Tamandua tetradactyla: one gene and its partners. The protein of the gene in region 3 interacts with the protein of the main gene of each other region in a biochemical or structural test. Links are inferred from orthologs where the notes say so. Each region holds a gene or a part of one and is shown on either strand. Other genes may lie near its edges.

The links.
Region 1: the proteins of RAB27A (region 3) and SYTL1 form a complex in vitro, tested with the Homo sapiens proteins (3 studies listed by BioGRID). The link is inferred for Tamandua tetradactyla from reciprocal best matches to the Homo sapiens genes RAB27A and SYTL1.
Region 2: the proteins of RAB27A (region 3) and SYTL4 form a complex in vitro, tested with the Homo sapiens proteins (2 studies listed by BioGRID). The link is inferred for Tamandua tetradactyla from reciprocal best matches to the Homo sapiens genes RAB27A and SYTL4.

The regions. Positions count from the first base shown.
Region 1 is NC_135328.1:198,921,509-198,929,228, forward strand, and holds the start of SYTL1 (synaptotagmin-like protein 1), read right to left. Parts: upstream 3,069-7,720; 5' UTR 2,935-3,068; intron 753-2,934; 5' UTR 703-752; coding exon 512-702; intron 1-511.
Region 2 is NC_135353.1:73,163,820-73,171,111, reverse strand, and holds the start of SYTL4 (synaptotagmin-like protein 4), read right to left. Parts: upstream 3,047-7,292; 5' UTR 2,917-3,046; intron 1,966-2,916; 5' UTR 1,894-1,965; exon of another isoform or gene 1,847-1,893; intron 1-1,846. UniProt on the Homo sapiens protein: Modulates exocytosis of dense-core granules and secretion of hormones in the pancreas and the pituitary. Interacts with vesicles containing negatively charged phospholipids in a Ca(2+)-independent manner.
Region 3 is NC_135340.1:70,437,321-70,444,578, forward strand, and holds the start of RAB27A (ras-related protein Rab-27A), read right to left. Parts: upstream 3,033-7,258; 5' UTR 2,818-3,032; intron 2,654-2,817; exon of another isoform or gene 2,522-2,653; intron 1-2,521. UniProt on the Homo sapiens protein: Small GTPase which cycles between active GTP-bound and inactive GDP-bound states. In its active state, binds to a variety of effector proteins to regulate homeostasis of late endocytic pathway, including endosomal positioning, maturation and secretion.

The DNA of each region.
Region 1 (7,720 bases), on a different chromosome or scaffold from region 3:
TACCTCTGCCCCTCCAGGAAGAAGCAGCAGCACTGGCTTAAGAGTGAAGGATATACTCAGGGATTGCAGAGTACGTGAGAGTACAGAGTACATGGGAGCTGGGGGTGGTGATGGTTCCTGGTGGAAGATGAGGTGGGGAGGCTGACAGGGCCCCATCCAGGGGGGCCTTGTGGGCCACACTGAGGACCTTCCCCTGGACGCTGTAGGTGTTGAGGAGCTGTGGGAGGTCTCAGCAGGGACTATCGAGGACACGCCTGGGAATCTGCAGCTGCAGCCTGGCAGGGGAACCGGAGGGGACAAGGCTGGAGGCAGGGAGGCTGATGAGGAAGCTGGGGCAACCACCCTGGGGTGGGGGGATGGAAGCTCCGAGCTGGCCAAGGGCAGAGGGAACCAAAGGGCAAGGTCAAGAACTTCTCAGGCTTCTGCCAGGATGACATTGGTAGCAGGGGCCCTCCCAGTGCCTGAGGCCCCTTCTCCTGGGCTCCGCTGACTAGGGTCTGCCCTCCCTCACCTGACCCGGCCCTCCTCCAGCTGGCGCAGGTGGGCATCTCGTTTCAGGACGTCGGCAATGGCCTCTTGCTCCTCCTCGGTCAGGAAGCTGAGGTCCAGCAGCCTGTCGGCCTCAGGCTCCAGCCCGTGTGCCATGGGGAGGGAGGGCAGGGCCCCGAGCCCCTCTTGCGATGGGTGGCCCCTGAGGGGCATCAGCTGGGGGTCATGCCCCGGCAGGGCATGCGTGGCTCCCTGGGGGCAGACTAGAGGTCATGTCAGGTTCTGCCCCGATACGGGGCACACTCTGGGGCAGAGCAGCCCCAGCAAGTGCCCGGGATGGGGGCAGACTACAACCCCAGGAAGGCTGAGGTCCAGCGGGGTCAGATATACCCATAGACTCGTGCATATGTGGGTGGGGGAACACACTCAGGGACACACTGGAAGACGTGCACAGAGACACATGTGCACACCCTGAAGGTGGAGACACACAGAGGACCATGGAGGGGGAGCATGTGGGCATGCGCATGCTGACCCAGGTAGAAACGGGTGCCCGTGGACACGCGCACGGCCCATCCCTGGAAGAGGTGCATCAGTCACAGGCACAAGCCGGGAGGCGTGTTTGCCCGAGATCTCCACTGAGCTGGGCCACGCATGGACAGGGTGCCCCTCCATCCCATCCCACCCCCGGCCACATGTACGAGAATAAGGCCCGGGACAAATATGTGTCCCCAGACGCACACAAATCACACAGACTTTCACACATACGTGTTGCCCCCCAACTGGGTTGTGAGCTCCTTGAAGGCAGGGATGGGGCAACGCCCCCAAAGCCCATAATTTGCACACAACAGATAGTTGGTAAAAATGTGATTAGTTACATGTGGAAATGCACCTAAAGGATCCTGCACACCTGGGAAATGTGCACAGACCCACACCCACACACGCACACACACTCACGCAGCTGCTCACACCCCCACCCTGGGAACCTCCCAACCTGCGTCCCTCCCTTCACTCGTTACCTCCACCCCGCCCTGGCCCACTTGGCCTTCCTGTCTGAGGCAACCTCCTCCCCAGCCTGCACCCCCGACTTCCTCCCCCCGCCCCCAGGGAGTGGCCGCACCCACTCCCACTGGGGCCTCGGGCCCGGGATGCCCCTGCTGCCAGCGCCCTCCTGCCCAGATCACCCGCGCCCGCCTGTCGGCTCTGGCCACGCGGGTCTCCCCATCCTCTGGCCCATAGACCTGCTGGGGAAGCTCAGGTCCCACGGTGACTCCGGAAGGAAAACATTTGCGCAGCCCTGAGGGGCGCGTGGACGTGGCAGGGAGCCCATGCTCAGCCCTGGGCAGAGCTGAGCCGTGGCCTGAGCCCGCTGGGCCATCTCTCCCCTCCTCTCCGGCCCTCCGGTGCCCTTCCCCCTGCCTTGCCAGGGCACCAGGCGGGGCCGAGAGGGAAGAGAGTGGCTCAGCAGGCAGGTCCTGGCTTGTACCCACCGCCATCACTGCCGCCTCCTGGGCTCTGTCCCCTCCCAGGCTGAGTCCGTGTCCGTGGCCCAGCCCCAGTCCCCTGCTGTTTCCCCCAGCCCCATTCTGCAGGTCTCTGTTGTGCTCCTCCGGATAAGCATGTGAATGGCCACGTGTTCAACACTAACAGTGTTTCCTGAGCATCGACTGTGCTGAAGGTGCTGGTGTGACAGACACACTGTGGGAGCCTCCTCCCGTGGCCCGGTGCCTGGGTCCGTGTGTCTGCCTCTGTGTCACATCGTGCTGCTGGATGAGCCTGCGTTTCGCGGCATGTCTGTGGGCCAGGGGCCTGTGAGCCTATGTATTTGGTGTGTGTGAACGTTGCATGGCTGGGTGTGTGTCTGTGGGTCCTGTCACAGTGAGGTGCTGCATGGGCAACTGTGTGGTGTGTGTAAAGACTATCTGGGTGACAGTGTGGTTGTGTAGGCTGTGTGTGGGCGCTGTGTGTGTGTCTCTTCCTGTGTTGGATGTGTGACTGGGCTGTGTGTTGGGCTGTATAGTCTGCTGCCCTGGGGCCTGCAGAGGCCACCGTGTGTGTGTGTGTGTGTGTGTGTGTGTGTGTGTGTGTGTGTGAGTGTGAGTGTGGAGGTGGCAGGCTCTGCAGGAGTGACCCTGCCCCGTCCGCCCCACACGGCTAATGCCTGGCCTGGGTTATGGGTGCCTGAGGTCAGGGCCCCGCAGCAGCCGCCTCCCCACAGTCCCCTCTTCAAGGACAGAATCAAGGGTCCAGTCCTCTCAGCCGTGTTTCAGCCCTATGGGGCAGACCCACCGGTCAACCCAAGAACCTGTCCATCTGTCAGGCTGTTCCGGTCTCTGGCCCACTCCCGCCTCCCCCACCTAAGGTCCTGGAGAGCGCTAAGGCTTCCAGGTGGTAGTGCCTGCCTCTCAGGACACCAAACAGGGGACTTCCAGCCCCGAGCTGTGTTACCTGTGGGGGTCCAGTGTGAGGAAGGGGACCCCTCTGTAGGGTGACTCTGGCAGCCGAGTGAGTTTCAGGGTCTGGGAGAAGAGCCGTGAGGGACTAAGGCTGACTCAACAGGCTCTCCAGCAGCTGCCCCACCAAGAAGGAGGAAACACCTTCTCAGCAGGGCCTGATGCAAAACCGGGCCTGGACTCCTGGCTCCCCAGGGGCAGCCCCACCCGGAGGTGATTTGGTGGGCTTTTGGAGCCAGGTGTTGGGTCCCAGTTCCAGAGTAAACTCACTTAGTAACTCCAGCAAACCACCAGCCCTTAGAGCCTTGGTTGTCCCTTCTGTAGAATGGGTGTCTGGGGAATGGCAGGATTGCATACTTTGCAGTAAGGCATCCTATATCACTGTGTGACCTTGTGCAGGTTTCCTAACCTCTCTGAGCTGCAAAATTTCCTCCTGTGCAAATTGGGGGTAGCAGAGTGTGAAGAGCCTATTATAAAGAAAATGAAAGTGCCTGGCCCAAGCTGTCATCTAGTAGGGACCAGGATCCCCTCTCCACGTAGTCCAGTGCCCATGGCCATTTCAACAACCATTGCCCCTTTGATGCAGGCTCGCCTCCGGAGGTGCTGGCAATAAGCAGCTAGCAGCCCTCTTTGCCCCCTCTGCCACCCTGCACTCCATTTGTTTGCTGAAGCTTGGTGCCAAGGCTGAGACTCCCACACACCCTGCCTCTGCCCACAGGAAGCCCCTCCGGGCATCCCATTCTGTTCTCAGACTCGACCCCACCCTAGAAGAGAAGGTTTGGGCCCTAAGATGCACTTGCTTTGGAACCACGAAGCTCGAGGCTATTTCATTCCTGGCGTAGTGTAAGGCATTACCAAAGCTTCCTGATCCCCCAAGCCTACTTCATTCCATAAGGCCTGCCCTGCCCCTGACCTGGGGCCACGGATTAAAGATCAGAGGGTACCTCGCAGACCCCCAAGAAAGGGGTAGGGCAAGGGGTGGATTCTAAAGGAAACCCCCTCCTCCTCCACTCCCCCCCTTCCCCCCATGGGCTCTGGAACAGGCGCCACCACTCAGCCCCTGGGGGTCCCTCCCCCCCGCCAGCCAAGAACCAGGCTTCCCCATTTTCTTTTTCCAAGTCCATCTTTTTTCTGAGCCTTTCCCCTCATCAATGGTTTTCACCACAATTTAATAAGATCCCTGCAGACCCTTAATAAATACACATGTGCGACACAGGCTGTGTGCCCGCTGTGGGAGCGGTTGCTGCCATGCTCACCTCCCGGAATGGAAGGAGGGCGGCCAGCAGCATCCCCAGCCCTTCCCACCATCCTGGTCACAGCTCCTCCCGTGAATCACGGGATGTTTCTTTCTAGGCCCCCCTCCCACCTCCCAGCAGTCCTCACTCCTGGAAGACATCAAACTTTGTTTACTCTGCAGGTTTCTAAATTTCCCTCCCTCTCTCCGTTCTGATCTTCCTAAAGCTGTGACTGTCCTCGACTCGGCTATTTCCATCCATCTCCTGCTGTCATCTCAACCTGAACTCCTCTGGCCCCTTCCACACCTGAAACTTTATCTCCAGGTTCCACTTCTGTAAAGAGCCCCTGTGGTCCCGTCCCCCCAGGCCACCTACTTCTCCCTGCTTGTCACTGAACGAGACCCTCTCTTTCCCCCAGGGACTTTCCCATCTGTGCCTCTTCTCCACCTGCCCTCCCACTGCCCAGATATCAGTCCCTGCTCAGCGTCTTCTGGAAGCCTCCACCTCTCGTGTCTCCCTGCCTTCACATGCGCCCCCTCCAGCCCTTTATTCCACAGCTATCAGAGAGCCCTTTCCAACACCTAACTATTGTCATTTCTCCACTTTGGAAGGTGCTAGGAAACAACTAGGGTCACCCTCTGGCCCACTCACAAATCTGCTCCAAACCAGACCAGGCTCCCTTAAACACCATCACTGACAGAAGTCTAACCACCTCCCAAGACAGTCTATCCTCCTCTTGGGCTGCCAGACCCCTCAGCCTTACCCTTAGGCCCCTCACCATAAATCTGCTCTGCCCATCCTTCATTTCCTACATCCGTAGAGCCTTAGCCACAGACTCTACTTCCATCCATTTGTGCCCCCCTCCAACTGCTGGAAGACTTTCCCTACCCTTCGCTCCCCGCCCCCCGCCCCCCAGGACCCGCCTGTAATCTTCCTGAAGTGAGTTCTTGGTCTTTGCACTGCGGCTAGTTTCTAGGCAGCTCCCCGTGGGTAAGAGCCAGGCTCCTAGAAGCCAAAAGATGTGTGTTAAATTCCGGCTCTGCCACATGGTCCCCATGTGGCCTTGGACCAATGACAGTCTCTGTAAGCCTCATTGTCTCTCTCTGTAAAACAGACACAACAGTGACAGCCATCTCATAGGACTGGGGAGAGGAGTGCTTCCTGCTTCTTAATTTTATTTTTTATTAAACTAAAAGTGTAATACAGATTAGCATGAAAAACAATGAAACCCCAATTCAAAAGAGGGAAAGCGATAATAGGCAAAACATACAAGAAATAAAATAGGTAGAAAAAATTCAATCTCACTGATCGAAGAAAGAGAAATTTTAGACCAATTAAAATTAGCAAAACAACTAACTGAAATTCAACCCCTAACATTGGTAAAATTGTGGTCAAAATGATACATTCATTCATTGTTAAAGATGATGTAAATCTGTTCAACCCTTCTGCAAAGCATTATGATTTCAAGATTCATAAAGATAGACCAGAGATCTCATTAATTTTATCAAGGATAAAATTCAACCAAAAAATACCTTCATGTTTAAAAATGCTTACTGCAAAGTTATCATCAGCAAAGAACCAAATGCCCAGAATTGGGTAAATGGCTTATGAAATTAAAAAAAAGTGATCAAATATAGAGGCATAAAATATACAATGTTAAACAAAAAATATAAAATTGTATGTTCATCAATTAAAATATATCAAAATACATAAGCACAGGAATGGAAACATGCAATAAAGGTAAAAGTAGTAGTTAAGGTATTTGAATTTTTTAAAATTATCTAATGTTGTAGTTATTTTTTATTATTATTAAAAAAGAGACAAACCCTTTTATGCCTTTTTAAGTTTTCTTTTTGTTTTAAAGCCACAGCCCAACATTCTTTATTTTAAAAGAGCATCTTTAAATGAAAATTTATTAACAGGGATAAGCTGTAATGCCACACCAACTGGATCCTAGATCCTCTTTCCCCAGAAAAAGCCCATTCTTGGTTCTTTGTTTCCTGTTTTGTTGTTTTTTTTCACCTCCAGCACCCTGCCCTTTCTCCGGGGTGACAGCATCCATGCCCTTTGGAGAGGCAGCCCCTTCCCATGTTCACTCCTTCTCCTCCAGTGAGGACACCTCACAGGGCAGCTCCAAGTGGGGGCTCTAGAGCCAGACGGAATCGTGGTGCTTCTTCCTACCTCTGGTCTTCAGCAAATTAAGTTGCTTTTGTGGGCTGGTGTCATCTGTAAACTGGAGATGACAGCACCTACCTCATGGGGCTGTTTTGAAGATGAAATGATGTTTAGAAAAAGGCTTAGCACATAGTAAGCGCTCAACAACTGTTGATTATTTTTATGACACCTGTTATGTCCTGTCTTACCAAGATTAATTTTCAGTTAATCTTGGGCTGGGGCAGTAGAACTTTTTCTATCTATCATGCTGGGTGGGTTGTCTTAAGTAGTAGAACTTTTCTTTTTTCCCCCAACCAATTCTCAGATGTACCCTAATATACAACACATTTTTGATAAGGAATTGCTTTGAAGCAGGGAGGAGGCACTTTGGCCTCATCCTGGAGGAGGTCCAGGCTCAGAAGCCACAGCTCTGCAGGGTCTGGGACAAGCTGACAGACCTCAATCTGGGACCCCAGTGGCCAGCAGCTAGAGCCTGGCCTCAGGATGAGCACGAGGGCCTCAGGGCAGTCAGAGACAAAACCCTGGGCTAGTTCAACTGGCAGACATGTGGCACAACAGCAGAGTTGAAAAAGATTCATTGAGAAGGGGGCTTTTAAGTTGGGCCTTGGGAAGAAATGCCACGACTTCAAGAGGAGAAAAGCAAAGGACCAGAGCTGGAAAGCAGAGTGTGCAAAAAGCTGCAAGGCTGGAGGCATGGTTTGACCATGGAAGGCCTTGAAGGGTGGAGGCCTGGCGGTGCTGCGGAGCAGGGCCGTGATGTGACCACAAGGTTCTGCCTGGTAACCTGGATGATGTGACAGGACCAGGGACTTGGCTTATACCAAACCGTGTGCCTGCTTGAGGGGGATGGGCCCAAGGGTGTGATCTGCCTAGTTAAAGCGCAGGCCTCTTTAGCCCCAACTCCCCACCCTACCGCCAAGTTCTTCCCAACAGGGACTATGGGTGGGGTTTCAATACCTGCTTGCCTCAAGGAGAAAGCAAAGGAATGGTGGACATGGAAAGAGAAGGGTGGTACCCCACAGCCTGGGCACAGAAGCAGGACGTACCTGAGGGAGGCTGGCGTCTCTGCAAGCCCCAGGTAATGAAGGCGACTCAACCAGACCCCTTGCCAGGGGGTGAAGGTGGCCAAGGACACTAAGGAGCTATGAGCCAAAGGGACTAGCGGACTGCAGAGAAGGAGAAAATAATGACAGAACACCACGTGGAATCAAAACTCTTTATTGTCCCATCCAGGGAGCCCCTCACATAGGGGCCTGTGGGAAAGGGGAATGAGGTGGACAGCACAGGGCCCTTTTTGATAACTTAAAGATAAGGAGGAGCTGTAGCCAGGTGGGTGGAAACAGCCTCCCTCCAACTCCCTGATGGCACGGG
Region 2 (7,292 bases), on a different chromosome or scaffold from region 3:
AGTGTGTCCAACTGGGTAGGGCTTCACCTTAGGTCCAGGAGACCACAAAAGAATGCCAGTTCATAGAATGGTACTGTCGTTCATCAATTCATTTAACAAATATTAGTAAGCACCTACGATATGCCAGGCTCTGTTCTGGGTGCTGGGATATACCAGCGAATAAAACAGAGAAGTCCCTGCCCACAGGGAGCTTATGTTATATTGGAGGGAGAAAGACAACAGGCAAGAAAAATGAGAGTAATCAAGAAGGGATGGATTATACAGAATGCTCAGAAAAGCAGTTGCAATTTCAAATAGGGTGGTCAGGGAAGGCCTGATTGACAAGGTGACATTTAAGTAAAAACACTGAGCTGCAGGATTTCAAGTGCCTCAGGAGGATGTCTTTTGTACTTCACACCATCACCAGACCTCAGGCCATTGAGGGCACTACATCCCCAGTTAATAGTACAAATACTTGTTAATCCCTTGCACTTAGGACAAAGAGAACTCCAAGATCCAGACCTTGCCCTTTAAAGAGGGTACAACCTTACATGGAAAAACAGGTAGGATAAGTGTTGGCTCTACTGAGGTATAAACAACTGCCTTAGGACACGGGGTAATCAGTCCTTCTGCTTAGGGGAAGGAAGTGAGTATTCAGTGAGTTTGTCCCAAAGAAGGTGACTTTAGAGCTAAATATTTAGAGATGAATAAAAATTAATGGTTGGTGTGTGTGTGCAGGTAGCAAGTTAGCTTTTTTAGGAAAAAAAGGGGAGGGGAGCAGTGTGAGCAATGTCTCAGAGATGAGATCAAGGAGGACATTTTACCCTGGACTATCCCTACCCAAAAATGGTATGCCCCATGCATGCCATGACAAAACAAGCACACAATCATCATCAGGCTCTCTGGCCTGGTTGTAGGTAAATCATTATCACCTACCACACCTTCATTTCTCCCCTAGCCAGAAGAAGAGGAAGAAGTTGAACCAGGTGCACATCCCTAGAATCCAGGGTTACCCTCTCCTAACTTCGGGAGAATCACTACTGAGCTGAAAGCCCAGGTTTCACTCATCTGGATACACACAAAGGTATGTGCTTAGAGTGGCAACATAGCAATTGGCCCCATGTTGGAAGGAAAGTGGGTAAGACATCATTGAAGTAAATTGTCCAAAGTCTCCACAGTGAATCTAAAGTAGAATCAAGGATCAAAACTTATGTTTCATCTTGGAAGGGATATTTTTAATCACTTAGTCCTCAGTCATGAGCAATTAGCATTCCTAATATCCAAGACAGTAGAGGTGTTATGACAGAGGATAAAAACACAAGCTCTGCAGTCAGGTGGCCCAGTTCTGCCCCTCATCAGGTGGGTGATTGAGACAAGGCACTTAAGCCTCCTTTTCATCATAATATGGTCATAATTGTAGTTTTATTGCAGAGTTATCATGAGGATTATATGAGATAACCATGCAATGAGTTTATTACACTGGCTCAATGGAGTCTAACAACTATTATTACCAGCAACCTTTAAGGAGAGGCCATCAACCAGAATCTACACACACTCAAGGAGTACACTCTGACCTCCATTTTACCGCTCTGACCAGGAGTGAGGTACCTGAAATGTTGTTATCCAAAATGTTCATCCCCTGCCCAAGAAAAGCCTCACAAACCAAGGTGGTGTTTTTCTACTAGGATTTCCAGCAGGTGCTAAAAAAAAAAAAAAACTTCATCAGCACCTCAACTCTTTGCATTAAAGAGTTCTCTCTGCAGACCAGCAGGATAAACACATTAGGTCATTAACACCTTAATATGAATGGATTTATGAGAGGTGGAGGTGGGGAGTTGAGAGGGCAGGAAAGAAGCCATTTAAAAACCTGTAAGTCCAGGATGTATTGAAGACTAATTTCTGCCACAAACGTACAAGGTCTAGGGCCAACCCTGCCAAAAGCTGTATTCTGGAATGCTAGGTCTTCTGGTCCGAAGCAGCAGGGCACTGGGGGAAGAAAAAGTCGGTTAATGAAAAACAAGTCACTTTAAGCCACTAGGGTTCTAACCAAAAGATTTTACCTTCAAAAAAACCCAACCATCTCATTCAACGTTAAGAGCTATTAGGGACACCTTTTCTGCCCATTACAAACCATCACAGAAGCTGGAAGCATTCTAAGCCCCCTTCTGAAGGTTACGGGGACTCTCCTCCAGAAGCAACCCCCCTCCCCCCGCAGCCTGCTTAAAGGATGGCAAGACAAAGCATTTCAGTGCTAGAGCACAAAGCCTGGTCCCGGGTCACCAACCCCAAGCGCTGAGAAAGCCCACTGAGGCAGGGCTCTGGGCCAACAAGCCTCCAGCCTTTACCAGTGGCGGACCGGCCAAGGCTGGGGAAGCCGATGCCGCGAAGTCCGAGGTCCTGAGGCAGTGAGCAGCAGAGATCCCGCTAGCACTCGGGCCAGGAGGAATCGATGGGAATGGGACTCGACGCCTGGGAGGGCGCCACAGTTCCGCTAGGAGCTGGCCCCTATCCCCGCCCCTACGGCTAGCTCTCCCGAGGGGCCCTGGTTTTTGGCAGGCGGGAAAAGCCGGTGCACTCCGTGGGGGTGGGGAAGGGAGGAGGCAGAGCCCACAGGGGCACCGCCCGCGTTAGTAACGGGTGGGCCAGGGGAAGAGGACACTAGAGGCCCGGGAGAAAGAAAACCAGCAGGGAGTGACCGCCCCAAGCACACTGGAGGCAACGCGTGGGTGGTCGGTCCAGAGAGGCGAATAGGGGTGAGGGGGCAGACGGTCAGCGAGGAAGAAGGAAAGACAAGAATGGCGTAAGGGGCGTGGGGGAAGGACGCAGGTCCCTGAGACGCGGAGTGGGAGGGGGCGCTTCGGAAACGAAAAGGGGACTGGGGGCCCAGAAGGAGCACCGGACTGAGGGAGAAGGGGCGGCCGCTGGTCGCGCACCTACCTGTCACCTGCAATAAGTGCTGCGAGCAGATGAGATGTCCGAGGGCCGGATTCAGAGGAGAGTCTCAAACTCCAGGAAGACCACAAGCCCGTTCCTGCGGCCCGTCCTTCTCACCCTCCCGGGAGGCGGAAAAAGCTGCAACTTTCTTTGGAGCGGGGAGGAGCTGGACTCTTAAAGGGGCCGCACAGCGTTCTGGGCTCCTTACTAGCGGGCCACTCCCGCCAGGGCAGCTCTGGCCACCAAATGGGTGTCTCCCGGGTTAGGAAAGGGAGCTTGAGGACTGAAGACAGGTTTTTAAGACTAGACGGTTTTAAGACTTTACTTCCATCTGTGCCTACTCTCTTCGATGGTAAAAATTACCTTCTTCCGCTCAGCTGGGCCCAAAGTTGTCAAACTGTCGTGTACTTAAGAATATGAAGACTCTGGACTGCATAAATTGGAAGCCTAAAATGTTATATCATTCTGATCCTTTGGCTTTCGGCTTTTTATGGCAAATAAGAGTGTCTCAAATAAAAACATGGTGGGCAAAGGACATAAACTAAATGTACACACAAGGAACAACTGGTTAAAATATTCAGCTCACTAGTAATCAAAGAAAGCGAATTAGAATGATGCGATTCTTTAGCAAATTTTTTTTTATTATTATTGTAACTTACGGATAGCAAAGTGGCCACGGACGAGCTCTCTCAGACTTGCTAGTAGGAGTGTACTGGTAAAAACCGTCTTACAAAGCTCCTGAGCAATATATACTAATAGATTTTAAAATGTTCATATCTACCCAGTATTGTAGATTGTAGGTTTCACTCTCTCCCTCCCTCCCTCTCATTAGCCATTAAACCTGTTCAAGCCTCTCTGAAGCTGTCATCAGCAATTAAACATGCTCAATTCTCCTTCACCTTAAAAAATATATATCCTCCCTACGCACGAAGTCGACTCCAGCTCCTCTTTATAGGCAAGTTGATTGAAAATGTACTTTAAAGGTACATTCCTATTTCCATTCTCCTACCTTTCATTCATCTCTTATTCTCCAGCAACCTGGCTTCCTTCTCCAACACACCACTTACCTTCCTTGTATTTCTTAGAATAGTAAAATACTAGGGAAGAAAACTAATGGTTCAATGGTTAAGTAAATTAAAGTATGGTCACCGAGAAGATAGGATTTAACAAATGAATGTGATTGCTGAATCATTAAATTGATCTCTTTTAGTCTCCAGTAGCTTAGAGCAGCCAGAAGTAAAAACCTAAAATTGTGGAATTCTAACCCATGCCAAACTCTGAAATATGTTCTACAACTAATTGTAGTACTGTGCTTTGAAATTTATTGCTTTTTTGTATATATGTCATTTTTCACAAAAAAGAAAAAAAGTCGATTGTGATGATAAAAAAATATTTATGCCTTCTGACCTCCTATATTCAGGAGCAGCAGCTAGAAGGAGAAACCTGAGAGGATCATATGTTGGCCCATGACAAACTTTGGGATCTGTCCTGTAACTATTTGTTGAAGAGTGCTTTGAAAACTATTGCTTTTCTCTCTCTTTGTATATACGTTATACTACAAAACAAAAATTTTTTAAATTAAAATATGGTCATACAATGGACTAAATGAATTTTCATTTTTCTTCTTCTTTTCTGTATTTTTCAACTATCCTGTAATGAGCATGTATGGCTTTGATAATATAACAAATCTTTTTTAAAATCTTAAAAAGGTAAAGAAAAAAATTTTCTTCATTCTAGCAGACAAACAGTAAAATACAGCTCCCAGGCTCTTTCCCAGAGTTTTCTTAGTTACTTTAGCCCCTCAATACCCTGCCCCCAGCCTGAAGTGAGGTCATTTCAAAAAGGAAATCCTTTTTTTCTACCTAGCTTTGCCACTTCAGCCTCGAGGCCACTCTACTCAGCCCTGAGCTTTGAATGCATCTCCCAAACCTCCGTCGTGGAAATGATGTACGAGAGGCATAGGAGTCTTCTCTCGCCCTGGCCTGTGGGCATTCAGACCAAGCACTTCTCTGCCCCTTCCCAGGAGGTACTTGGGGAGAACTGCTAACACCCTCAGCCAGAAGGGACTTCAGAAAACATTTAGTTCAACCCTCTTATTCATCAGCAAGTTGCAAAATTTCGAGATATTATTTTAAGCGTTTACTTCTTTCTACATGTGCAATTTCTAACCCTGCAAGGTCTGCCTCATTAAAGAGTATGTGAGGATCTGACTGGTCTTCTCTAAGCGTCTCACTAACCCAGCTGCAAATACACAGAGACACCAACATAAACAATGAACCAAAACAAAGTTAATCAATGGTTTGCTTACATATATTCTGTACTTTGCAAATTGCTATCAATTTCTATTTGATCCTCTTTGTCTGCCACAAGGATTCATATACTAAATAGTTTGAAGGATCTAACGCAAGCAAACCCAGGTGCTATCCTGTGCAAAAATGTAAGCATGAATTTATGGATTATCGTTTTATATATAGCATGTAAGCTCCTAATCCATTGTGAATAATTTGATTCATGGAGTTGTTCTGCTTTGCCACTTTGAAGGAGTTTTGGCTATTGCAAACTAAAGAGATGGAGATTTTCCTCAGCCCCAGGTGACGGTATTGAACAATTACTTTTTTAAAAAGTATTAAATATTTTAAAATTCATAAACATATAAAGAATAATATAGCAACAAGGACATGCCCACCACTCAGCTTGAGAAATAAAGCATTGCCAATATAGTTGAAGCCCATGTACTCCTCCATTCTGAGGTTCAATTCACATGATTGTATAATGTTCTCTGGAAATTCTAGACATACAGGTAGAGAAGGCATAGCGTAGCATTAATTGAGGATTAGAATGCTAATGCATAGGTAAGCACAAAGTACACAGAAAGAAAGGGCCCTGTATAGGCAAATGCAATTGAGCAGGATTGCATGCATAAATACAAAAAGAAAACTCTGGTGACCCCAAGCTGAATGGGAATAGTTACAAATGGCTCCTTAGAAAAAAATTTGGTCTCCTTACACTTTTATTTTAATAACAGCTTTCTTCAGATGTAATTCACATACCATATGATTCACCTATTTAAAGTGCACAATTCAGTGGGTTTTAGTATAGAGTTGTGCAAGCAAGTATAACCTCAGTGAATTTTAGAATACTTTCATCACCCCAAAAAGAAACCACCTACCTATTAGCAGTTACTCCCCATTTCCTTCCAACATCTCCCTCCCCTAGAGAACCACTAATCTAATTTTTGTCTCTAAAGATTTGCCTATTCTGGACATTTCAAGTAAATGAAATCACATAACTTGTAGTCTTTTATGACTGCTTCTTTCACTTAGTGTAAAGTTTTCAAGTTCATCCACATTGTAGTATGTATCAGTACTTCTTTTTGCTGTTGAATAATGATATGCTACTTTTTATTTATCCTTTCATCAATCGATGGACATTTCGGTTATTTCCACTTTTGGCTATTATGAATAATGCCGTCATGAACATTCGTGAATACATTTTTATATGGACATATGTTTTCATTTCTCTTAGGTATATACCTATGAATGAATTGCTAGGTCATCTGGGAACTCTGTTTAACCGTCTGAGGAACTGCCAGACCACTTTCAAAAGCAACTGCCCCAATTTACATTCCCACCAGCAATGTATGGGAGTTTTCATTTTTCAACATCCTCACCAAAGCTTGTATTTATGTGTCTTTTTAAAAATCATAGAACCTAGTGGGTGTGAAGTGTGGCATCTCATTGTGATTTTGCTGTACATTTCCTTAATGACTAATGAATGATGTTGAGCATCTTCTCATGTGCTTATTATCTATTAGCATGTCTAACTTTCTTCAATTGTGTTACTTGTCTTTTTATTGTTAAGTTGTTAGAGTTCTTCATACATTCTACTTATACTTTTGAAATGTATGGTAGAAGGGGAGAAGGGAGAAGGACATTCAAAGGAAGGGAGTAAAATGGAGGTGTATACAAATGTCAATAAGCAGGTTTTGCTGCTGAATTCAAGAAGAGAGTACAGGTCAGGGGAAAATGTGCTGAATTGTACTGAGGATGGGTTCCTTTATCTATGGCCAAGACTAAGTTCAGGACTGGTTTTTCTTTGGAAATTGGTAATGAAGGGCTGAAAACTTTTAAGACCTATTCAAGTGATTTATTCTGAAGTGGACATATACTATTTTTTAAAAAGCCTCTTGGGGAGAAGGGAAGCCAAACCATTACTTACCAGGATATAAAAGCAAAAGATAGGGACTCCTTGGTAAAATGAGCAGTGATTGTTTTTGTGTTTTATTTTATTCTGACCCTCTAGCAATGTTTGATGCTGTTGCCCACTGTTTCCTTCATATATATATATATATATATATATATATATAAAATTACTGTTAA
Region 3 (7,258 bases):
GGCAAGAGTGATAGATGAAGTCAGAGGTAGCCACACACAATATAAGGGCTTTGGAGGCAACAATGAGGAATTTGTTTTTTCTTCTGAGATAAAAAGCCATTGGAGACCTGTTCTTAGGATGTGTACATGGCAGTATTAAGTGTTCAAGGAGCACGATATATACAATCTGTATTCAAATGTTTAGGAAATAGATGATAGATGGATATAGATGATGGGTAGAATGATATGGTAACACAAATGTGTGAAAATGTTAAAAGTTGGTGGATATAGGTATCTGCGTGGGAGGTGTATTGGAGTTTACCGTATAGGTTGTGTATTATTTTTTGCAACTGTCTTGTAAGTTTGAAAATATTTCAAAATAAAAAGTTTCTTAAGTCATTAGACTTTTAAGCAGAGGAGCAAATGACATGATTGACTTAAGTTTTGAAAGAATCATTTTGGCTGCTACGTTGAGAATAAACTGTAGAGTAGTGAGGGTATAAGCAGGGAGGTCAATTAGGAGGCTTCTATAAAAGGTAGATGGTGACAGAGATGAGAGGAGCTTGATAAACGCAGTGGAGATGGTGAAAAACAGTTATATCCTAGACGTGTTCTCAAGGCAGAATCAATGGAATTTTCTCGGGGTCACATGTCGGGTATACAAAAAAGAAGAGAATCAAGGATGATTCCAGGATTTTTAGCCAGAGCTGGAATGAAGTTGCCATTTACTAGAGAATTCCAGGAGGAGAAAATCAAGTCTGGTTCCTAGAGATTGCTGCCCACTTCAAACCTCTCCATCTACTCTAAAGCCAAGATGACAGAAATTAACTAGCTGATCCTAAAATTCATATAGCAATTCAAGGGACCCAAAAATAGATAAAACAATCCTGAAAAAGAACAAAGTTGGGAACTCACTCCCCAATTTCAAAACTTACTACAAAGCTACAGTAATCAAGACAGTATGGTACCGGAATGAAGACAGAAATATATAGATCAATAGAATAAAACCAAGAATCCAGAAATAAACCCTCACATTTACAGTTAATTGATTTTTTACAAGGGCACAACACCATTCAATGCAGAAAGCCTTTTCAACAAAATGGTGCTGCAACAACTATACATCACATGCAAAACAATGAAGTTGAACTCTTACCTCCTACCATATCCAAAAATTAACTTACAATGGATCAATGGCCCAAATATAAGAGCTAAAATTATAACAACTATTAGGAAAAAAACATAGTTATGTATCTTCAAATTCTTGGAAGAGGGAATGGTTTCTTAAATATGCTGCCAAAAGCACAAGCAACAAAAGAAGAAAAATAGCAAAACTGGGCTTCATCAAAATTGAAAACCAAGGCATGCCATAGAAATTGAAAGATGCAAAAAAAAAAAAAGAATAAAGATACATAACATAAAATATGGAAATACAAGAAATATTTCTACATAGAAATATAGAAAAGAATGATCTTGTCACCTCAGCATTGTATTAACAACCTTCCTTCACTTTTAACCTTCTGCAGAAACCCTGTTTTCCAGACGTGTTAAGGTTAATTTCAGTATTTCTCCCTAAATCAAGCTCTTAGGAGACCTAGAAAGAAGCAACAGGAGCAGTGGAGTACCAATAAAATAAATTAGTTATAATTAGTGAAAACTTACATGGCATAATACTTCACTCCCCATCCCGCACCAGCACATCTGACTGATCAGCCAGCCATTAGGGAAAAACCGTCTGCCAACATCAGGTAAGGAAAAGGACCCTGTGGCAGAAGATTCAGAGACCAGGTGGCCCAACTGGCCAGCAGGAGCCAAAGACGGTGAAAGCTAAGTCAAGTCAAGGACTCACAAGATTTCCTTCACTTCAGGTCTGACTCTGCTTAATCGGTGATCTATTAGGAAAGAGAAAGCTTTGGCAATAGTTACCAAAACCTGTCAACACATCGGCTGGCCCGAGGGTCTGGCTTCCTGTCTGGTGGGGTTTTTTGTTTGACAGAAAAAGGGAGACCTCCATCCCCACCCCACTCCAGCTAGTTTGCAGTCCGGATCCTTACCAGAAAGACTGTAAAGAGGTTAAAAAAAAAAAAAGTAAAATGAAACAAAACAAAACAGGAGGGAAGCCAACAAGAAGAGAGGAATGGAGAGATCTGGGAGATCCAGGACCTTCGTGCTCTCCACCAGTGAAGTTTCCTCATTCCCTCACGGGATCCTTCGCACCTGGAGCCCATCCCGAGGTGACCTCGGACCCCCGCCCGAGCTCGGGCTGCGCGGGATGTGATCCTCGCCCGGGCTGACCCGCTGCCCCAGTGGCTGTCATCGCTGGCCACTGTTCTGAGGGCCTGGGATACACAAAGCAACTTTTCTGGCGGGGTCAGGCGCGCAGAGGTGGGGAGAAACCGAGCTGCAGCCACGCACCCCCAACCCAGAGCCCGAAGTGCCACGTGCCGGCAGCCTGCCCAGCCCTCCGGGATGAACTGCCACCTGCTTTGAAAGCGCCCCGAGCCGGAGGGCGCACCCCGGGCCTGCGGCAGCTGCCCGCCCTCACCTGGCTCGGCCTGGCTGTTCCCACCGCTGCGAGCTCTCCCCGCGCGCCGCCTCCACCCGCGGCCGGCGTTTTGGGGGGTGGTTGGCGGTATTTTCCGTCTGGCCCCACATCACTTCCCGTAAAGGAGAGCGAGGTGGGGCGGGACCTCCTCTCTTCCCCTCCACCTCCCTCTTCCTCCTGTCACCTCAGAGCGCACCCCCCGCCCTATTCTGGGGACGGGAGTGCGGGCCGCGGGGCCGCCTGGTGGGGAGCTTTGCGGGCGCCCTTCTCCCGCGCGGCTCCCGGGCGCGCCGTACCTGCCGAGGGAGCCGGGGACGGACCCCACCTCGGGGTTCTCTCGTGAGTCCCAAAGGGCTCCGTGTGTCTCATTTCTCCCAGGCCAGGTCTCCACTGTCCTTTCCTGGAAGGCGCGAAAGCTTAGCGGTGGGCAGGGGTTGTTTTCGTTTTGAGACACGGGGGTGACATTTACAAATTGCTCCAGGATCGTCGCGCTGCGAGGTGTGGTTTGGTTGACTCGCCAAATCTCCTCCCCCAAAGCCATTTTCCAAAGGTGTTCCCCAGGGCATCAGATCGGTGACTCCACCGTAGTGGCCAGATGCGCTGAAAGGCTGCACATCGCCCCTGGCTCCCGAGGCCCGGGGGGGGCTCCCGCCCTTGGCGCCCCCTGTCCCAGCCTGCGGGGGCCGGATCCGCGCCGGGCGTCCGGCTCTGTTCACCGTCCATCCGGCTCTGTTCACCGTCCATCCGGCGCTCCCAGCTCCTCACTCGGATTAGCCTGGACATGGCCTTCCCGAGGTGAGGAGAAAGCGCTGGGATTCATGGAAGTGACTATTTATATGATTCTGGGGGGAAATGACCAAAGAGATCTCTCCTCGCACGTTCTCATTCGGATTATAAAAATCACTCTGAATTTCTAAGAACGCAGTAGACGAATTCTTTGAAGAACGGCAGCTGGCGGGAGGAATCTGCTATCCTTTGCTGCCACCCAGAGGTTTCTTCTCTCAGCGCCAGCCATTCTGTGTGAGCCGCAGCGCCTTCTGCGGCTCTGAGGCAAAGTCAGGTCCTCTGGTTCTCACCCGGACGCAGCCCCGAGATGTGAAAAGTAGACTATGGACCTACCCTGTGGTTTCTCAGGCAAAGCAACTCTGAGCCAAATGATTCCACATCTAGGTGTGGCTTAGTGGTTGGAAGTCCTCGTCCAGCTTCTTTTGCCTGTCCATCTCATTATTCGTGTGTCTACTTCCACCACAAATTCCATCTGCCCCAGCACTCCTATCTAACACCGTCATTCTTCCAGTCTGTAGTTACTGACAGTTTGCATGATAATACAGTTTCTCGTATATGTGTCCAATTTACAAAATCATGTATAGGATAAACCATATGAAATTGCCAAATAGTGGCAGTGATCTTGGGATTCATCACAGAGGGATGGTTTCACAAAGACCACCATACTGTTGGGGGGTTAAGAAAGGAAAAGTAGCCCCATGTTTATGTCTTCAGGAACAGTTCTGGGAACCACCGATCACCTAAGTTCTGGGGAAACAACAATGCAGGAACTGCTAATGGCTAATCTGATACAGGGAAAGGAACCCCCATTTTTACTCCCCCACATAACCAACATGGTTATGGACAGGAGTTTATCAGGCAGGGGATCAGAAAATGGACAGTGGTCCTGTGGCCCATTCACGGCGTATTCATTTATTTAACAAGTCAGACACTGTATTAGGGCTGCAATAAGTGAACAAGGAAAGTAAATTGGCCCTATTCTGAGGGAACTTGTAGTCATAGAGTAGGAGACCAATAATAAGCAGCCAACACCAGTACTGAGATAAGGGCCCTAATAAGAGAAGTGAAAGAGTATAACTGGAACACAGATAAGTAACACATAATTAAGCCATTCCAGAAAAAAATGATGTCAAAATTAAGAAGGAGGGATATGGTGGAAGGATGAGGGTGAATTGTAGGAACAGAGATTGGAGGAATGGCCCAGAGGAGAATGAAAGCATGAGATATTGGAACAACTGAAAGAAGGTCTGAGAACCTAACATACTGAGTGGAAGGAAGCAATCAGAGAAGAAACAAGAGAAATAAATGGAGGCTGTATTATGAAGCTCCCTGGAATACTGATAATGATAATAGCTAACATTTATTGATTATTTAATACTATGAGCCTGACAATATGATAAGAACTTTACATGGATCCTCTCATTTATTTCTCACAACTGCCCTATGAAGTAGATACCATTCCCATCCTTGTATTACATATACGTAAACTGAGTCTTGTAGTGACTGAGCAACCTGACCAAGGTCATACAGCTAATGAGTGGCAGAGCCAGGACTTGAACTAAGAACCCGTTTTCTTAGTTGCTATTTACACCAATAGCATCCAAAAGGATGAAATACCTAGGAATAAATTTAACCACAGAAGTGAAGGATTTATGAATGAAAACTACAAAACATTTCTCAAAGAAATTAAACAAGACTCAAACAAATGGGAAGATATCCAATAAGCAATCTGCAGATTTGACACAATCACTATCGAAATCCCAGTGGTTATTTTATCTACCTTATCAACAGATGAGTAAAATATACAGATTAAAAATAAATAATAGGGGGGACAAATGTTAAAATAAATTTAGTAGATTGAAATGCTAGTGATCAATGAAAGGGAGGGGTAAGGGGTATAATATGTATGAATTTTTTTCTGTTTCCTTTTTATTTCTTTTTCTGAATTGATGCAAATGTTCTAAGAAATGATCATGATGATGAATATACAATTATGTGATGATATTTTGAGTTATTTATTATATATCAAGAATGGAATGATCATATGATAAGAATGTTTATGTTTGTATGTTGTCATGTTTAACAAATAAATAAAATTTTCTTTAAATCCCAATGGTTATATGAAAAAATAAATGAGGGCAGGCCACAGTGGAACACCAGGCAGAGTTCTCACGTGACATGCGGGAGACCCGGGTTCATTTCCTGGTGCCTGCCAATCCAAAAAAAAAAAAAGTAAATGAGGTCCAAGATGGCAGCTTAGTGAGGTGTGGAATTTAGTTCATCCTTCAGAGCAGCTAGTAAATAGCCAGGAACAGTACAGAACAACTGCTGGGGCCACATCACTGACCAGACACACAGCATACCCCAGTCTGGAACAGCTGGACTGGCTGCGAGCCTCCCCAGAACCATGAGTGCCCCAAACCACAGTGGCCGGCACCCCTCCCCCACAGGCTGCTTCCCAGAGGGGAAAGGAAAGAGACTTTACTAACAGCAGGAGCTGAGCTCAACCAAGCTCCAATTGTGGAATTAATTAACAAATACTGACTACTAAAAATAGGCCCCCAGCTCAACTGAACCTCAAGTAAAAGCTGAGGTTGCTGGGTTTTGCCCCCACACAGAGGGGGCAGGGCTGACAGAAAAAGAAAAGAAAAAAAAAAAAAAGGTTTTTTTGGATCAGACAGTACAAAGTACTTGTAAGGGCCTGGGTCCTGAAGGAAAGGAGGCACACATAGGACCTGGAGATACACAGAGCAGCATACCAACTTAAGTTCTTGATTGACAAACCCGAAGAACAGGGGCCTGTACTGAAAAGGATTTTTTTACTGTTCTTTTTTGTGGCTGTGTTTCTTTGGCTTGATTGCTCCTTACATACAACTGCAAGGCTTCTCAGGCTCCAACTGCCCAAGACCAGGGCAAAATTAAGCTTATCTGAGCAGCAAAGTGGCTGATCAGATGAAAGGAGTTAATTCCCTGGAGCCTGTGCCTTCCCCTGGAAACGGGTGGGGCCAGCTCAGGTGGAATCCCTCCCTGAAGGAATTCAGACCCCCGGGTCTGGAAAACTGAAGCAATTAAAGCCAGCCTATAAACTCTCCTCTGCCTCAACCACGCCCTCAGCAGGGAGAAACTGCTGAAATTAAAGGCACTCCATCACTTTATGCTGGTGGGACCTGCAGACAGAAAAGTGTCACATACTGGGCAGGATAGGAAAAATGCAGAGTCCAGAGGTTTCACAGGAAAGCCTTTCAATCTGCTGGGTCTCACCCTCAGGGAAAACTGATAGAGGTGACTCTTTCCTCCTGAGAGGTGGCCAGTCTGGGCTGGGAAAATCTGACTGGGGTCTATAATACCTAAGTAGAACCTCCTAAGGGAAAAAAAGGCACTAAACAGATAGGGCAAGAAACAAGATCTGAAAAATTCTGATCTGTTAAAACCTAAGTTAGAGGTCTAGAATAAGCTGAACTGAATGTCAAAGAACAGATAGACAACGAAGTCATGCAACAAGAAAATCGTAGGTAAAAAAAAGTGAAAACAATCTCCAGAATAAATTAATTAAGGAAATTAAATGTCTAGACACCAGCAAAAAATGGTGAATCATACTAGGAAAATTGAAGATGTGGCCAATCAAAGGAACAAACCAACAATTCAAATGAGATACAGGAGTTGAAACAATTAATTCAGGATGTTTGGACAGACATGGAAAATTTTCATTAAAAATCAAAATCCATGAATTGAGAGAGGATATAAAGGCAAGGAATCGAAAAAAAGAAGAAATCGAAAGTCTGAGAAAACAAATCACAGAACTTATGGGAATGAAAGGCAAAGTAGAAGAGATGAAAAAAAACATTAGAAACCTACAATGTTAGATACAAAGAGGCAGAAGATAGGATTAGTGAACTGAAGGATGGGACCTCTGAAATCAGACAAGCAAAAGAAAATATAGAGAAAAGAATG